2 linked regions of the Struthio camelus genome follow. The protein of the gene in region 1 interacts with the protein of each later gene in a biochemical or structural test. Links are inferred from orthologs where the notes say so. Each region holds a gene or a part of one and is shown on either strand. Other genes may lie near its edges. The genes, in order: TNNI1 and TNNC1.

Region 1 (9,394 bases):
AGCCCTGGCCAAAGCTCCCGCATTGCTTCAGTGAAGAGCACACACCACATTCTGCCCAGGAGACCGTCCTTTAATACACGTACAACTGCGTGGGAGTATCTCAGGCTGCACACGACAGAGGATGGGGGAGCGGGAAGACCAGTAGCCATCTCACAGGCCTCTCTGCAGCAGAGGGAGGAGAGGGATGGCTAGAGGCCTCTTAGAGCTGTGTGCCCAGCACAGACACATGAGAGCTGCCCATGAGAAGATGTGTCCCGTATTGTGCCAGCTGGCAGAGTAGTAATGGCAGCCCCTTGGCCATGCTGGTGACACCTGTGGCACCTGAGAGTCATTATGCAGGGGCCACCCTGGAGCAGGGTCGATTGCACGAGTAAGGTAAGGCCTGCACACAGCTGCAGGCCAGGGTTGACGGAAAGGAAGAGGCTCAGATCTCCTTCCCAAGTAGTTGTCCACACGCTTCAGCTCAGTGGTGAATTCAGGGTATGAGCATAAAGAGCAAGGAGGGGCAGCAAGGACAAGGGAGGCAGACAGCAGGATTGGGGAGGCTCTTCTTCCTGGCCTGACGCTCCTGCAGGAAAGAAACAGAGCAGAGTAATGGGGCAAAAGAAGAGTTTGTCTTGAAGCAGCCATGCTGCAGGCCCAAAGCTGATGCCAGCAATGGGTGTGCTGTGCAGGATAACTGTAGTGTGGCTGCACAGGCCCCAGAAAGCCAGGGAGATAAGCTGAGCAAGGGGATAGCTGTGGACAGGGGCTCCATGTTGGAGACATGTGGGCCTGGGGCCCTGTCCCATGTGCTGGGAGAGAGACAGGCCAGGAAGCCAGATGTGAAAAGCCCAAGGAAAGGAGTGGATGCCTTTTCTGCATTCACCCAGCTACAAGCACTGCTCAGGGATGTTACAAGGAGCGCGGGGCATGGCAGGGGAAGGCAGACTAGTTGCCATACCTCTCACTGGCCTGTGGGGGACTTGGCAGCATCGAACATCTTCTTTCGGCCCTCCATACCGGACATGGCTTCCACGTTCTTGCGCCAGTCACCCACTTCCACAGGGCGCTCCTGCAGGGTGAGACGGGGCCGGGGGCTGCAATGGCTCTGTGATGGACCACCTGGCAGCCCTATGCTTTCCCACTCACATGCCCCAGCGTGAAGGCAGCACAGGGAAGGCATGCACGTGGAAATTATTTCAGACTGCATACTGAGGCAAATGCAAGCAAATACACTTTCTGCAGAGAGGTCTCAGCCACATAAACCCCATCTCCACCTTCTCTCAGCTCTTGAAGAGAACTGGGATTGCAACGAGACCTGGGAGGCCACTTCTAGAACAGAAAGGGTAGGCGACAGTGGCTCTGAGAGTATGCCCAGGTGTCTGCTTTGCCATCCCACAAGTGTTCACATATTACAAGCCATGCCCCCAAATTATCTCATGAGATCTAAAATAAACTCAGATCTATTCAATACCTGGCACTGAGGCTTGTAAACACAATTTTTTTCAATTCAATGGATTAAAAAACATGCCCTATTAGCAACAGTGAAAAACAAAATTGAAAAATGACATCCAATCTACTGTCATCCAATCTACTGAGCTGGAACCTGGGGTTAAAACATGGTGCACAGTGAGGACAGGCACTGAGAAAGCAGCAGAACTCTTCTGGAGGGAATCTTGACATCTCATAACCTGCTGCTGTTTGACATCAGAGCAAGAAATTGCAATTCCTGAATGCAGCATAGAACAAAATTCCCCACATTCTCTTTGGGGATGTCAAAGCGGTCTCCTGTGACACTGGCAGGATGGCTTAATCTGAAAAGCAACATCACGCACTGTGTCTGACATTGTCTGTATCACAGGCGCTGTATCTTATTGCTATTTAACACATGATGGAACTAAAACTATGAATCACAACAAGAATGCCAAAATCCAGTATTGGGACTTCTTCCCCTTGACAGTGCTCTTGCAGTTGGAGTGTTCCTGCCTGGGCTTTTTCAAACTGTAATTTCTGGTCTGAAAGAAGAGTAAAACCTTGCAGGCAGATCTGGTGCAGGAGGAGCGGCTGACACTGCCTGCGTCCTCACGGTCCTGAACCCTCGAAGGGGCATGCCACCTGCCTCTACGCCTGCCTGCCCACCGTGAGCAGGCTTGGGCATTGCACTATGTCTCTGGTATGGAGAGAGACTTTCCCCTCTCCCATCTCTGCAAAGTCAGCGTGAACTGTGCTGTTTGTCTCAGGCTAGGTGTGCTTGCTGGGCTTGCATTGTTTTATCTAATCTGTGCCTAGGAGTTTCCTGAGTATTTTCTGGGTGTGATTGTATTGAACAGGAGCTCTCCTTGTTCCCAGGAAGACAGAAGACCAAACTCTCATAGAGTGCAGCTTGACAAGCATGTTAAGGGGTCTGTGCCACTTTACCCCAGCTGAAAGTACCCCCAAGCTCTGGGAGGGAAGATCATCATGGACAAAGCCCTGAATCTCACCTGTTATCATCCACCAGTTACCTGACCTAGTCAAACAGCTCCCTTGTGGTCCTACAACGTCCTGCGATGGGCAATGCCTCACAAGGACTACACCCCTTGCTATTTCTGAGGCGCAGGGCTTACAAGGGTTGAGCGTAACCCATGCAGGCTTCACAGGGACATTGCAGAAAGACAGGTGCAGCCCTAGGAGGTCTCTCCACCTCTGACCTCTGAAAGAGACACCCACCTTCTCCGTATCCTCCTTCTTGACAGACTTCAGGTTGGCTCTCAGATCCATGGAAACCTTGTGCTTGGAGCCCAGCAGAGCCCTCAGCATAGCATCAGCAGAGACCCGGACTCGCCGCAGGGGGGGTCGCTTGAACTTTCCCCGGAGGTCAAGCACTTTCAGTTTCAGGTCTTTAATCTGCAAGTTGAGGAAACAAGATGGAAGGGGAAGTCATTGTATGACTGCATTGCACAAAATGCCCCTATGTGAGGCAGGAATCTCTGTCTGCTCCTAGCCTCAGAGGGGTCCCAGCCCCTCCCACAGTGAGTAGGACCACCTCCAACTAAGGGGTTGTGCACCTGAGCCCAGACCTGTAGTGATGGCCTTGTCCCAGCCCACTTGGATTGTAGCCATGCTACATAAAAGACCTCTCAGCCCCTCAGGGGATGACCAGGAGAGCAAGGAGGTTGCTTGTGGACCCAGGTGACACTGAACTCTCTGAGGCAGGGATGAATCCTGTGCTGAGCGATTGTCTGCTCTTGTAGAGCAAATACCAACCCTGAGTTAAGCCTGGTACACGTCCCACATCCAAGCTCAGTCCAATCTATGAAAGACCCCTGTCAAGGCCCAAGTCACCACTGAGGAGGGAATTAACATAGACACAAATAGCCCCTCCTGCTCCTACCTCCCGGGTGTTATGGTTGCATTTTGCTTCGATGTCATATCGCTCTTCATCCACAATTTCAGCTTTCGCATGCAGCTCCCTGCACAGGTCCTGGGGGGTCAAGCACAGCAGGAGAGCAGTAAGTGATGGTCCTTGCTGCTTCCAAGGAGTTCACTTCATCCTCTGATCAGAGAAATACCTGGAGCTGGCTCAAGGAAAGCCCACTGGTATACAATGGTGTGATCCGCTCAGACAGATATCTTTCCTTCTCTGACTGTTTGTCAATGAGCTCCTGTTCCCATTCCTCCTTCGCTTTTGCCAGCATCAAGCTCTAGGGAACAAGCAAAAAGTAGAGGCTTGACTAGACAGGGTCTTCAGTTAGCTGCTGAGCCTCCCCACGCAAGGTCTGTAGGATGGGAGAGAGTCCCAACTCCTTCCAAACCCCCCCTTGCTGTGGTAATCCTCCAAAAATCACTGCAATGCTGCAACACACATCAAAAAATCCCTACACCCTTTATGTGGTGACACTGAAGGCAGGTGAAACAGGGCGAGAGATATCACTGTGGTGGTGGTGTTCCTGATGGATGCTGACGTGAACACTTTCTTTGCATTGGTTTGCTCTGTTGTTGCATTAAATGATTTCCCTCAGCCACAACAAATCTTAGGGAGTTTCCAGCCCTTAGGACTCACCTTCAACAACAGTTTGCGTGAGGCTGTGATCTTGGGCTTTCTCTAGGGAAAAGGGGACAAAAAGAATCTTTGAAAATAAACTCGCAGCAAATGCAGAGAAATATCTAGATCACTCAGGAAAGGCAAGGCACTTACCTCCCTGCAGGGAGGCATTCATTCAGGAACGAGCAAAAAGGAAGACAAAAACAGAATAGGGCATAAGCGGATAGAAATCAAGAGAGTAAATGTCAAGAAAAGTATTTTATATTATTACAATTGGTTTCCCTATTTCACTATACAATAGTTGCAACCTGTAAGTGAGCCAGGTCTGCTGCCAGGCTGAGATGAAGGTGCTCTCCTGAAAAGCAGCAGAAGTTGAGCGCTGCATTTTAGAAAGTCAAAATGACACTCAAACACTGCACACAAGCTGTCTTTATGCCCTCTTGCAGGGCTTGGACATCTCCATGCCATTGCTTGATGAAAGCTTTGCAGGGTGTTTTTTTCCTGCTGTTCACAGCTGGGAATATGCTATATTACACAACATACTATAAAGAAGAGCCTCACAGCAAAAAGAGTGTCATTGCCCACTTGGGGATGGCTATATCAGGGTCTCTGATCTAGGCAAGCTCCAAGGTTTGAACCAGGACATTCAAATGACTAACAGTTTTTATTTGAAGAAAGACATTTTTTACAAAGGGAACATCACAGGGGTCTGGAGCATGGACCATTCTTCAAGCCGGACCCCCTAAAGAAGGACCAAACTCTGTCGGCACAAGCAGCCCTGTGGCTAAGGGAGGAATTCAGCCAAAGCCAAGGGGAACACATGCTACTTACGGCTCTGGCATGGTGATGTCACGCTGTTTACCTGCAAGGAAGGGAAAGAAGCTGAAATGAAGATACAAATCCCAAAGCAGTCCAAGCCCAAAAACTGGGCTGGGTGCCACAGGGGGCATGGGGAGCACAGGGGTAGCAGGCAGCTAGTGTGGGAGTGAATTGGGCAGAATGGCTGTGTGATGGGGCAACGCAGAGGCTGCAGAGTGGGAGCAAGAAGCATCACTTTCCCCAAGATGGCACTGCACCTCTGCCAAGTTGTCTGGCCATCTCAGCACCCTCCTCAGCTGGGAACTGGCCTAAATGCACTATTTGGATAATGAATCCCCTCTTGCAGCTAGGCAAGATATTGCCTGAGACAGAAGAGAAAGAAGCATTCAGAAAGGCAGGACCTGGAGAAGGGGCTGCCTTTCTTGCCTGCTGTTCCTGCCGCTTCTCTGTCCACAGATGATGGGCCATAGCACGCTCAGCAGTGACTACAGAGCACTTCCGAGGTGTAGTGCTGCCCCGTGCTGTTGGTGGAGGGAAGCAACTCTGCAGTTGGCTTTACCATCTGGTTGTGGAACACAAGGACAAACCATACAGCTCCAAGGAAATCATATTTCGAACAAGCTCCAGCCTGCTTCCAGCCAGCCCTGTGGCACTCAATCAGCAGGAAACCACTCCCCTGCTCCTCAGGGTTTTTCCCAAATTTCTGAGCTGTTCTGCCACCACTGCTGGCTACATCACCCACTCCAGCTGCAGGCAAACGGCTGGAGGCGAGAGAGGCTAGAAAGCTAATGAGAAACACGGCACCTCGAGGCTCCCCACACTGCATCAGCTGGAGGAGCTGGGCTGGTTTAGTCTGTCCGAGAGGAGGCCAAAGGGGATGCAATAACATCCTGTAGCTCCTCATGTGCAATTGCAAACATGTTGAAGGCAAACACTTCTCAAGCGTGGCAGACAATAAACCAAGGGGCAACGGTCACAAATTGCAGCAAATTGGCACAGCATATTCCTTTAGGGTTTGTGTCCCTGGTGAAATCCTGGTGATTTCATATTTTACATTCACTTGGTAATCCTATTCCCTGGCAGCTGCTTTAAAACGTACTGCCTCTGCTAACTTCCTCCTGAGCTGCTTCTAACACTTCCCATTCTTGCCAAGAAGTCAGGGCACCACATAAATCTGAACCATAGAAAAATTCATGGGAAAATGCCAATCAGTTTACTTTTTTCCTCTTTCCAATCAGGAATAAAAAATATTTCCAAAACAAATAGCATTTTTTTTCAGGGTTGAATCTAATCCTTTTCCTCTGAATTGAAAGGGCCAAGCTGACCAAGATTTTTGTTTCGACCTCTTTTGTCCCCATGAATTTGAAAATTATTTTAAACCCCAAAGATTTCTGCTGAAAAAAGGGAAAAATTCTAGTATCAAATGGTTCTCTTCTCAAGCTTGCATGGAGCCTACACTGAACAAGTCCCAGTGACATAAGTTCACCTCCCAGTCTGCTGCTCTATCTTCTTGTCCCTGTCCCTTCCTCAGCTCCCTTGCCATAATTGTATCATAAAGGAGTGTAGGTAGTTTGGAGAAAAATGCTATTTTGGGAAATAGCCCAGGAAAAGCCATCTTTCCTGGAGCCTGCCAGGTCCCTGTGCTCAGCACTGAATAACTCCAAGAAGTGTGTTTTTATCAAAAAGCTTGTCAATCAGATATAACCAGAGCTGCCAATTCCATGCCTTTTTAGAGATTTTTTGGTAATACAGCATTCCGCTCAGACATGCAGGCAAGCCAGCTCCTCTTGGCGGTTGCCAGCATATTGAGGGCATTCGGTCCCAGCTGCCTTCTCCTGATTTATTCCAGGCAAAGCAGAAAAGCATTTGGCTCTCACAGGAGAGCAAGGGTTGGGCAAAGCTTCTCAGCACCTCCCTCTGCCATATGGGGGAAACGCCAAGGGTCCCTAGAAGAGGGACCCATACTGGACCTTGGGACAGCCAATGCCAATGTCAATCAACTTTTAGGGCCAGATTTTTCTAAATTGGTCTCCCAGAGGGCAGCTGGGGCTCAGCTTTGCTGGTAAGACAAGTTGTACAATCTTGCATCCTTGCAGGGTTTTACTCAGGGACTTCGGGGCTCAAGCTAGGTCTGGAGCACCTGAGAGGGACTTCAACTCTCTGATGGGGACAGGAGAATTTGGACATATTTATTCTGAATTATGCTTGCATGCCCCCAGCCGTGAAAAACTTACAAAGCTTCAGAAACTATCAAATCAGAGAAATCTTTAAAAGAACTAATCTCTAATGCAGTCAGTCCTGACAGTCGCCCCAATCCCAGGTGGCTGAGGATATACCACGGACATGCAAACACGATGCCACACACATTGTTCACACCACGATGCCCCGTATCGCATATCCCTCGTCCTGCTCTCAGGGGAAAAGCACAAGCGTGATAGTGAGGAGCCAGATACCAGCCAAGACACAAGGGCAATTGCTCCCTAAGATAGTCCTATTTACCGTTTTTTAGGAGCTGCCTGGAAAATCAACCAAATCCCAGCTCCAATGCCACAGTAGTATTTTAGAAAGTATTTCCCTTCGTTGCAGTCTCATCAATCCTTTCTTTGAGAGTGAAGAAAATGGTGACAGCCAGCAAATTTCAGAGGGGATCCTATGCCAGGCCTAACAGCTAGGTCTCTATCTTACTCTGAGGAAGGGGAAGAAATTCAGGAAAAAAGATCATAAGCCAGGGGCATCTCTCTGCAATGCCTCGACATGCAAATACCGTTGGTCTCTCACTAGTGTCTGTGTCACCTGCTCTGCAAAAGCACCCTCAGGGCTAACCTAACACCCCTTAACAGACCCAGGAGTCACACACGGGAGGGACACTCTGGGCCTGGGGCAGTTTCTTACCTCTGGGCTGGGCGGGAGGGTAGGTGATGCCTGACGTCCGGAGAGCCGCACACTGTCGGGGCTTGGCGAAGGAGGGAGAGTATTAAATCGCAGCCTGTCTGCAAGTGGTCAGTAAAAATAGCCCAGGCACATACCCCCTACTCTGCATACATGCTTGCTGTAAGCACAAGCACCCCTCGACACTTTGCATACACCTGGGGCACTATCTCAAACACGGCACGACAAGTGCATGTTGCAGACGTGTATTACGCACCCACGTGCAACGTTAGCTCTGGGCACATCCAAAAGAGCCTTCTTGTGTTTTGGTGAATTCTTGTGCTGTGTGCGTATGAACTACCCGAACTTTGCTGGCATTTGCTGCTTGACGCACTGCTCACATACATGTTGCATGTGCATGCACACTGGCATCAGGCTGACCATGGTGCCAGCCAGTCAGTAAGGCAATGTCCGTGCAGGATAGGTGGATTCTTCCCAGTGCATCTGCTGTGCTCTTATCCCATGCAAGCATGCATATGTTGATACCGAAAAGACCCTGAGCCTGCAAGGAGGCAGAAGTCATGAGCTAAAGCACTGCAATGATTTTTTTTTTTTTTCCGGAAAATATCCCAAGGGTGACGGGGGGAGGTATCCAAGGTTGCTTGACATCTGACACAGTGATGACACCCATGCATAATGATGCACATGTTGTATCAGAGACAATACATGAATAGACTGATGTCCCCCACAGGACTGCTGGCCAAAAGGCCTCACTGGTGCTGGAAAAGCAGAGTGGGGGGAAGCAGATGGAGCCAAGATACAGGGGGAGTTGAATTCTGGCTGGAGGGTTTGTCAGGACTGAGGATGAGGCAGTCCCCTCTTTGGGGAGCAAGACCGGCCGGACTGGCACAGCCCAGCATCATGGGCTGAGACAAGGCACAGCTCAGGCAATTCCCTGCTATCTTTCAGCAACGCAGGCCCTGATACTTTCCCACAAAATCCCTGAAAAGCAGACAAAATGCTACTGTCTCACCACTTTGCCCTCTGTAAAGCCCCTTGCCCCCATGTCCACCACAGAGGGAGGCTTTGAGCAGGGGAGGACCGCTGGGGCGGGGGGGGACAGGCAGCACCTGTTCCCTGGGATATTTTTAGGGGCAAGTTTAGGCACAAACAATTCCCAGCCCTGCAGGAACAATGCCTGGTATTTTAATTCCTGAGACTATTATGGTCATGGAGGGACCCGCAGTCACAAGCCCCATTGTGGGGAGCAAAGACGGCCCCTGTGTCCTGCAGAGCGCCGGATGCATGGCTGACTTGCCACCTCCTGGTCCAAGCACCCGCTCTCCTTGCTTCTTGGGCCACCCAGTGCCTGCCCTGAGCTCCTTCCCTCTGCCTGGTCATCGATGAGGGCAGCTGGGTCCTTGGGATTGATGACGCAGAAGCCTCCAAGCTGGTGTAATCTCAGCAGCCTGGGGCCAAGTTTCTCCCCATCCTTTTTTCAAAGCCAGTGACGGTGATAGTGGCAAAGGCAATGGCAATGACAGTGGCAGCCCCATCCTTGTTTGACCTGCACTGAGCAAGTGCCTGTGAGCACAGGAGAAACCCCACTGAGCCCGCCCTCCTTAGGGACCCCCTCCAAGGGCCTTTCTCCTTCCCCATTTCCAAGCACCTCTCGCTCAAAACCATGATGTGGGCCAGTGC
Region 2 (9,180 bases), on another chromosome or scaffold:
ACTAGGTAGATGAGAAGAGCTAGAAGAGGAGAAAGCAAGGAAGCTCTGTTTTCACAGTCTGATGGAAAAAGCGTGCCACCATCTCCAACAAATGCCTGGCAGAGCTGGCTCTGTGCCCTGAGTGCAGCAGCGGGTACCCCAGCAGTGCCCGCCCCAGTGCAGGGGGGGCTGTGCCCATATTGGCACCTCTTCCCCAGGGAATCACTGGCTCCATGGGTCTGGCTGGATCCAAACTCTGCGTGGCCCTGACCTGGGCTCTGTGTTTGCGCGCTCCTTGTCCTGCTCTACAGCCAGATGCGACTTCCCTGGAAAGCCTGCCACATGCGCACGCAGAGCCGGCTGTAGAGCAGAAGCGTTAGCTGAAATGAGTGGGCAGATAGTTTCCACATCCTACCCCGTTTTATTCCCTGCAAGTGATCAGTGGGAGCTTATTAGTTAACACGAATTAATGAAAATAATCAATGAGAAGAGCGAAGAAGAATCCATGGGACCTACACTCTGCTTCTTCTCTTTAAGTGTTTCTCTTTGGCTTCGTTCCTTCCTAGAAGTACTGCTTATCTAACATTACTGACTTCACCATCGTATCCAACTGTCCCTTCAGCAACATCCATTAAAACATTGCCTTCTTCCCTCCCAAGCTGGCCAACGAGACCCTCTGCAGTTGGCCAGATGCTACCCCTGTGCCAGGTGGCTCCTATGTGATTTAGCTTAGAGGGCTCTGTCTCTGGCCCCTCTCTCAAATCATCTGATATCTCTGTCCTGTGCAGTGAGTATCTGCAGGGACCCTGTTAGCTTCCTCCTTACTATAGCTATCGGCTACAGTCCTTACCTGCTGCTCCCCTGATCTCCATGTCCATTGTGAACCATACCCAGACAACTATCCCCCTGTGTGTTTTGGTCGGGCCCTGACACAGCTTTATCAAAAACCCCCAACACCAAGTTGCAGCACCTCCTCTCTGCGTGGAGGCTGATGTTCTTGCCCCAAAGGGTAATTGCTTTGTAAAAGGCAGCTGGAAAGCCACCCTGCCTGCCTGCAGCAAGAGGTAGGGAAAGGGCATTTGCTCAGCAGGACAGAGGACAAGCACTTGTAGGGCGAAGCGAGCAGGGCGCCTCGTCCAGAGCCTGCTTGGCTACAGCTCAGCTCCACGCGCTTGTGAAGATACGGACTATAGGAGGTGAGTCCTTTCAGGTCAGAAAGAGATAACAATAGCAGCAGGATTGCTCTTCAGCATTGCACGGTGCAACCCGAGCCGGTCCTGGCCCAGCCGCCCCTGAAGGCAGGCAGGCAGCTGCTGGCCGTCAGGGCTATTGTGCAGACGGGAAAGGAGGAGAGCTGGGAGCCCCACGGCAGGCGCAGCGCTCCCCAAGCGAATGTCTGCGGCCACCGTCATGCCACTCGTGTAACTCGACCCTTTTGGTGCATTCACTATTTATAAACCCTGGTGAGAGAGGTGCTGAAGATAAAGATGAGCTTTCTGATTGTTCCCGGGAGTAGAAAGGCTTTGTTATTTATTCTTGCAGCCCTTTATCTGGACACTTGTCCCTGGCACTGTTCTTAGTGCTGCTTAACAGAGCTTTAAAAGGTTCCCAGAATAGCTTTGTGTTTCTATAGCCTTATCTAGACATGAATAGGCAAGATGAAAATCCATTGGATTCTGTGGCCGCATGGAGCGAATTTGGCACAAACTCATTCAATTCTACAACGGTTATTAATAAATGTCCTCAACAAGCAGAAAATGAAATACTCCCTTCCAAAGCTTGACTAGGGCATTTTGGATATCTGGAGAATTACAGGCGTGGGACTAAACTGTACGTAAATTTTAAATGCAAGGTAGCTATAGAGAGATACATGCATTGCAGAGGGATTTCAGTTGAGTAGTTCACAGTGTCCACTGGACATAGATGCTCTGCTTTATTCCTCTTTTCCCTCCGCATCGTGTTTCAGGGAGAGGTTTTCCCTGTTGTGGTACTGGAAAGCAAGCACTGAGCCCGCAGCACTGGGATGTCTGTGATAATGCTAACTCTGTCATAGTTTCTACTTTGCTTTTTTCCAGCTTTGTTCTTCATTTCTTGTTTCCATTTGAAGTTAGGTGGGGAAAGTTTAAGGTCTTGAAATTTTTTCCAGCTGAATGTCTTCTTACAATTAAAGCCTTGGGGGACAGATTCAAGAACTCAGCCATACCGGGGCTGGAGTTGTTTCGCCCCTGTACAGGTGCCAGCCGCCAAAGCCCAGGACTTGAGCTGCACGTTTACCTGTTGTAGCGTTGTCACGGTTCACAACAGCAGGGTGTCTGCCTGGGTGCCCTGGCCTTCAGACGGGCAGCAAAATCCTTATGGGACTCAATCAGGTATTTTGCACAGCTCATTTCTGTGTTTAAGGACTAGGTGTTTGGGATAAGCTTTTGGTAACTAACTGAGGCAGGAAGTTTTTGGTTGCTCTTACGCTGGAGCTCCTTTTTTTGGCTAAATTCCTCCGAAGTCTAACTCCACCGAAGTCCACAGACTTTGACTAGGAGTGACCTTGGCCCGTGGAGCTTTGCCCATATGTATCCCATTTATGGGCCAGAGATATGGAGAGAGGCTGGAGCGTCTGTGCGGGGAAACCTTTCTTTTGGGGCCGGGAGGCTGCGACGCAGCCTGCGCTGGACAGTGCATTCCTCCGGCTGACGGACAGACCCATTTGGCTAATTGTTAGCATTGCTGGCTTGCAAAGCTCTTCAGCCTTTCTTCCCAGCTATGTGCATGAGGTGCCTAAACAATATGGAAAGGACCCGTTCCTTGAGTCGCAGAGAATATGTTTAATTAAAAAGATTAGTTATAGAGGCCTGGATTTTCTTGAATTTTATAGGTCATATTTTCTTCCTTTTCTGCAGTGGTTGTTAGGGGAACTCTACTCCTAACTGCACAGCCTTTCCTGATTCTTTTTTCGCTGAAAACATCCAAATCATTTTGGGTTTTCAATCTCACAAGGTTCTAGGTTAGACCAAGAGGACAGGAGAGCTAATTGTGTGAGCATTTTGTTGTTCTCTTCAGTTACATTTCAAGCAAGCTCTTCCTTCCCTCTAAAAGATCTTGGAATTAAAATAGCACTTGTACGATGTATTTTTTGTGCCCTTAGTTAAAAATCAAGGCTGATCAACTATATATAAAAAAAAAAAAAAGTCACCAGGAAACCCTTATAATGTATTTCAACTCCAGTTATGCACGGGACAGAGTAGCAATTCCTATAATTCAGAATCTATTTTCATCCTTATTCCACCCGCATATCACGGTCTGTTTAAGTGTCTTTATTAGAGACCAAATAGTTTGAACTTGCCCAGTAAGAATAACACACAGCCGTATAATTTAAAATAGCGCTTAGGGTGCCTCTGCGTTCTCAGAGAGCATATCTTACATTCGTAATTCCTGTACCGCAGATAGCAGGGGCTGGGAGTGGTGAAGCAGATGCGGAGGCTTGGAAATGCCTTACACAAGCTGAGAGCTTTTTAAATCCCACCAAAAAAACATTCAGTTATGGAAGGGGAAAACTTAGCAATGGCGAAATGTTAAAGCACCAGAAGCAGGACGGTGAATTTTAACCCCCGCGAATGGTCTTCGTGCCATGGGAAGTGCTGCTGTGCTCTGCGCTGGCTAAGACCAGCAGCCACCCCCTTGCCCTCCAAGGTTTTGCTGAGATTTTTTTAACTGCACTTAGGGACCGTGTCGCTGTCTCAGAGCAGGGAGCCAGGGCCGAGACTGCAAACCATTTAGCAGCACGGTCGAGACCTTCACGCTTACAAGAGGAGCGTGAAAAGCGTCACAACTGTCAGCGCTAAAAGTCTGCGTGCTGGAGGAAAATGTTGTCTGAAAGGCGCCACCCTGTAATAACTTCTTGTGCGCCTTTCTCCGTCGCGTTAACTCTGACGGCATGGGAACCAGCGCGCCGGCTTCGGGGCATCAGCAACAAGGTCCGTAAAAACTGCCCAAAATCCCCCCCTCCCCGAAACACAAGCCCTAGCGAAGGCATCGCTTACCGCTGCCTTGTAGATGTCATCCATGGTGGGGGAGCGCGGGCGCGGAGCCGGGCGGGCGGCACGCTCTGGCCCCTCTGCCCCCGCGGCCCCGCTGATATAGCGGCCGGCCGGCCGCCCGCCCCGCGGGGCCGGGGGACGTGGCCAGCCGCCCGCCCCGCGCGCTCCCGGCCCCCCGGGCGCTGCCCGCCCGCGTGCCTCGGGGAGGGCGCGCTGCCGGCCTGCCCGAGCCCTCCCTTGGGGCGGCCGGGGGTTTCCGCCTGACTTTGACGGGGAGGGGGGGGAAGGCTGAGCCCTTGCCGCTGGGCTCCCCGCAGACCCCGGCGCCGCTGCGTTGCAGCGTTTGGCTGCGCGTCACCTCTGGCTCCGGTGCAAAGCCCCCTTCTTCCCCCTGGAAGCTGGGTCAGAAAGCGTACCCTGCGCTCAGTTAAACCGGGCAACGCGCCGACGGAGCACCCCGGACCCCCCCCCGCCCCAGCCAAATTTCCCTGGGGCTTGGAAGGAAACCCCGAAGGAAGCGCGGGGGGGGTCTGTCTGGTGCCCGGCCTCTCCGCGGGCTGCCCCCCGGCCCCCGCCCGCGCCCGGGCTGCTCTGGGGTGCGCCGGCGGGGCTCGCCCCCCGCGTCAGGGGTGCTGGAGCCCTACCCTGCGCGTCCAGGCGCTGAGGCCAGGGGAAACGCGTCGTCCTCACGCGGGGACGCGTAGGCGGACTGGGCCGCGTGGGTACCGACGTTTTTTCTGCGCTTACTGCCGGTCCCCTCCAGCGGCCGGGCAAGCGGAGCGGGGGCCGGCCGGCCGCTGGCCTTTGGTGGCCAGCCCCACCACGAAGGGAGAAGCCCCATGGCGTGACTCTAGAGCCAGGCGCCGGGGCCCTGCGGGCGGGCAGCCGTCGCTCCCTGACGGGAGAAGTGTTTTAACCCGCGAGGACCAAAGCAAAAAGATATCTCTCTCTCGCTCTCTGCCCCGTGACTCGAGGCTCCCTCTTGCGTCCAAAGGAGCTACCGATGGCTGCTCCGTCTCGCCAGCCAAGCTGATGCCCGCGGCAGGGCGCAAGCGCCTCACGGCCGGCGCCGGCAAGCGCTTCTGGCTTCCTCCCCCGGGCCGGGGCCGGCAGGATGGAGCTGGGAGGGGGGCTCTGCCCGCCGCCGCGGCCGGCGTCCCTGTTGCTCGGGGGACAGAAGGGTGTTGCTCTGTCACAAAGACAGTGGGTCTGTGGGGGGGGGGGGTTGCTTTGCCTTTTTGTAGGTACTCCTGTGAACGCTTGAACTAGCCGCAGCTATTTATTATTTGCAGATTTTTTTTCGTTTTAAACTTTCTGCTGAAAAAATCTTACATTTCAACCAGAAAAATGTGGGGGAAGGTTTCAACAGCAAAGACTTTTCAAGCCGCGTTTTTCAACTTGAGAAAACCGACGGCGCTGTGAAGGCAGCTAGTTAGGTTTCGGGCTCTTCTAACAAAAAAAAAAAAAAAAAACCACTCCTCCCGTTAACCAAAATACTGGCGGCGCGCCGGAAAAGCGCTGTCCCAGCCCAAGCGGGTGAATCAGGGACGCGCGGCGGCGGTGTGAGCGAGGGGCCGAGGCGCTGGCCGGAGGCGGCCTCCACCTCTGCCCTCGCAGCAGATCGCCTCCGCTCCGGGCCCCGCGGCCTCCCGCCACCCCGAGGCGGCCCGGCCGCGCCAAGGGCTCCCTGTCGGCCGGCAGAGGCGGGCGGCCGCTCGCCGGCCCGCGCGCTGCCCCGGGGCGGCCGCCGGCCTCCGCCAGGCCCGCCGGCGGGGAAGGAGAGCGGCTCGCGCTGAGAGAGCCGCCGCCGGCCCCTGCCGCCCCGCGTGCCCCTGCGACGGGGTTTCGGCAGCGCCCCCGCCCCGGGTTTCGTTGAGGCGCAGGGGAGGATTTGCGGGCCCCCCGGGGCAGACCGGCGCGGCTCAGAGCCGCCCTAAGAGGCTGAGCGGCGCCGGCCCCGCTGACCTCGAAGCTCTGTAAGCGCCGCGGTTTATTCCGCCTTCAGCCGTGACAGGCTGACGGGTCACCTGGCGCGAAGCGTCCAGAGCTAAACCGAGCCCCTTTCAAGGGGTGCAAGCTGGCAGACGAGAGGAGGGGAAAAAAAAAAAAAAAAAACCCAAATCTGTGACTTTTACTGCCAGCTAAATCCTCCTGGGGTTGGGTCTGGGCTGGCCGGCGCTGAGGGTGCCCCCGAGTCACCGAGCTGCCGCGAAATGTCTCCTTCACGGCAGACAGGCCGGGGCTGCCGCCTCGCCGCCCCCGCGCGGCGGAAGGGAAGGGGACCGGCAGTGCAAATGGGTCTTTAATTAAGGATATGGAGCCTTCAGAGGAAGCTTAATTAAACTGGCTCGGTAAAACTGCTCGTTATCGCATCGGGACGCTGCGTTCAGCAGCAGCCCCTGCCGACGTTGCGGCAGTGCTAGAAAAATCCCTCTTGGACTGCCTTGGCCGTACGTGTTGCCGTACGCGTCCGCCTGATGAGTCCTGATCCAAGGGAGAGCGTTTTGCGGTGCATCCGCCGGACGCCGGAGCTGCCTCCCGCCCGCCGGCGCCGCCGCTGCCCTCCTGCTGCCTGCTGAGCGCGGGCACTTTCTGTCCCGCGCACTTGCAAACCCTCAAGTGCCAGAACAGCTAATGCCTAAATTACTCTTTGCAATGAATCGACGCTGGGTGCACCCTTGCTTAGATCCGCTAGCGCGAGCGTGGCCAGAAGAGACGGCACCGTCTGGCTTTAGCGAGAGGGTGCGTTTGCATCTCCTGCGACTTCACCTCAGGGCGATGCCACTTCACGGGGAAAAGACAGACAAGGATTTGCTTGCCATCCTTTGGGATTATCTACTCCTATTGCAAATTCCAGCTCATCGCCTCAGTAAAGTTGCTCTGAACTACGCCCACCCGAAACGCGCTCCTCGAGCACTGGCAGTCCTTTGCAAGAAAAGCTTACAAACAAAAAAAGCTCCTCGGAAAAGCATTTTCCATGCTTGTGCTCCTGCCTGCGCACCTAGGCTGTGTCTCTCCTCCGTGTAGAAGTCCGGCCCATCACGCCAGCTCTCAGCTCAGTTTCTGAGGTGGCAGCAGGCGTTTGTCACAGAATCACTGCAGTGGCACCTCTGCCCAGTGCCGCATTGCTCCAGCCAGTCAGCCACGTGGTGGGACCACAGAGAGCTACTGGGAGCTGTGTACAGCTGGGGTGAGTCACTGCTTTGGACCTCTGCCGTCACTGCTTCCAGATGCAGGTGTGAGTGCCTGTGACAGTACAGCCACAGCACTACCAGGGAGCTCAATACTCTTCAGACAAGGAGTGGCCTTGCCCTCTGCAATTCAATCTCACATGCCCTGTGCTAGTGCCTGCCCTGGCCTGGACTGCAGCTGCCTGCATTTCCAAGGGCGTCATTTGCAACGTGCGCATTGCACACTGCACTCCCTAGCTGCATTCAGCCAGCTTGGTCAGCCTGAACTCCCTGCGCTGCATTGCATTGCGCTGCACAGCCTAACATTGCATTGCATAGCGTTGCTCTGCCTCGCACAGCACAGCATTGCATTGCACAGCCTAGTGCTGCACAGCATAGCATTGCAGAGCACCACACAGTCCAGCCCAGCGCTGCATTGTGTTGCAAGGCATTGCACAGCCCAGCACTGCACTGCATTGCATTGCACAGTCCAGCACAGCACTGCATTGCATTGCACAGCGCTACACGGCCCAGCAGCCCAGCCCAGCCCTGTATTGTATTGCATTGCAGTGCATTGCACAGCCCAGCCCAGCCCAGCCCAGCATTGTGTTGCAGGGCATTGCAGGGCCCAGTAGAACACTGCATTGCGTTGCAAGGCATTGCACCGCATTGTGCAGGCCTGCCCAGCACTGTATTGTATTGCAGTGCATTGCACAACACTGCACAGCCCAGTCCAGCACTACACTGCATTGCACTGCACAGCACCGCATTGCACAGCCCAGCCCAGCACTGCACTGCGTTGCAGCGCGCAGCACCAGCCTCCCCCGCGGAGGGCTCAGCACGCATGCGCATTCCCCGTGAGCCTCGTTCCGCCCTCCCCCCCCCGCGGCTGACGCGGAGGCCCTCAAGCCCCGCCCCTGCCTGCGGCGGCCAATAAAAATGCGGCGAGGGGCCGGGCCGCGCCCTTCGGGGTGTGTGTGGAGGGAGGCGGGGGGGGTCAAGATGGCGGCGGCGGGCGAGCGGGCCGAGGCTGGGGCCGGTGCGGGCGGCGGCGGCGGCGGCGGCCGGGGGGGAGCAGCGGCGGCGGCGGCGTGAGCGCGGCGGCGCCCGGTCCTCCGCGCTCCTCGCGGCGCCATGGACGCGGCGGCGGAGGAGGGCGAGGAGCCCCCTCGGGGGGCGCGGGTGCTGGGCTCCGAGCTGGTGGAGACCTACACGGTGAGGGGGCCGTCGCGGCAGGGCGGGAGGCGGCAGGCCCGGCCCGGCCCGGCCCGGCGCGGGGGGCGGCGGGGGGAGGCCGGCGCGGCCCGGGGCGCGGCGCTGGCGCTGCTGCCCTCCTGCCAGGCTAGTGTTTCAGCGGAGCCTGAATGTGCGGAGCTTGTCGTGCTCGTGGGCGCACGTCTACGCGCGTGTGTACGTGTATGACCTGAGAAGCTGCCGTCGAGAAAGGGTAGCTTTTAAAACCGGCCCGAGTATAGTGTCTAGTATCTTGTTAAGGTGAAAATACTTCAGAATCCCTCCTGAAAAGGTTCGTTTTCTGTTCAGAGAAAATCAGACGATTTCGGGATGGTATTGCACGTAGCCAATTTTTTTTTCTTTTACCCCACAAAAAAAAAGGAAAGGTCGTCAGCAGCATTTCTTTTGGGGAAGGAGTTTAACTTTTTGATTTATAACTTCTTTTTTTTTTCTTTTTTTTTAAACTAGTTTCAGTGTACCCAGACTTAATCGTTCTGGTTTTTTAGGAAGAAGCTCATCACAATAACAGGCCTCAGTGTAATTGCACACAGAAAACCTCTCAAGAACACCGCCCTGTTATATAACTAAATTTTTTTTCTACCCCTACCTTAGTCTACTGTGATTTGAATGATCTTTTTTTGGAGAATGCACATTATGACCCCAGGCTTCTTCCTGCACTAGGAACTCAAAGGAGGAAAAAGGAAAGAGGCAACGTGATTTAGAAGGGCAGCGCTTGTTAGAAGTTGTGTATTATTTTTGCAAGTAGT

The links.
Region 2: the proteins of TNNI1 (region 1) and TNNC1 are reported together in a solved structure, tested with the Homo sapiens proteins (2 studies listed by BioGRID, with this or other methods). The link is inferred for Struthio camelus from reciprocal best matches to the Homo sapiens genes TNNI1 and TNNC1.

Annotation. Positions count from the first base shown.
Region 1 is NC_090965.1:3,434,197-3,443,590, reverse strand, and holds TNNI1 (troponin I, slow skeletal muscle), read right to left. Parts: upstream 4,134-9,394; 5' UTR 4,025-4,133; intron 3,666-4,024; 5' UTR 3,660-3,665; coding exon 3,534-3,659; intron 3,446-3,533; coding exon 3,356-3,445; intron 2,869-3,355; coding exon 2,692-2,868; intron 1,055-2,691; coding exon 947-1,054; 3' UTR 944-946; intron 569-943; 3' UTR 55-568; downstream 1-54. UniProt on the Homo sapiens protein: Troponin I is the inhibitory subunit of troponin, the thin filament regulatory complex which confers calcium-sensitivity to striated muscle actomyosin ATPase activity.
Region 2 is NC_090955.1:22,266,673-22,275,852, reverse strand, and holds the start of TNNC1 (troponin C, slow skeletal and cardiac muscles), read right to left. Parts: upstream 4,140-9,180; 5' UTR 4,038-4,139; coding exon 4,014-4,037; intron 1-4,013. Other genes in the region: NISCH (nischarin), read left to right, coding at 8,315-8,395. UniProt on the Homo sapiens protein: Troponin is the central regulatory protein of striated muscle contraction. Tn consists of three components: Tn-I which is the inhibitor of actomyosin ATPase, Tn-T which contains the binding site for tropomyosin and Tn-C.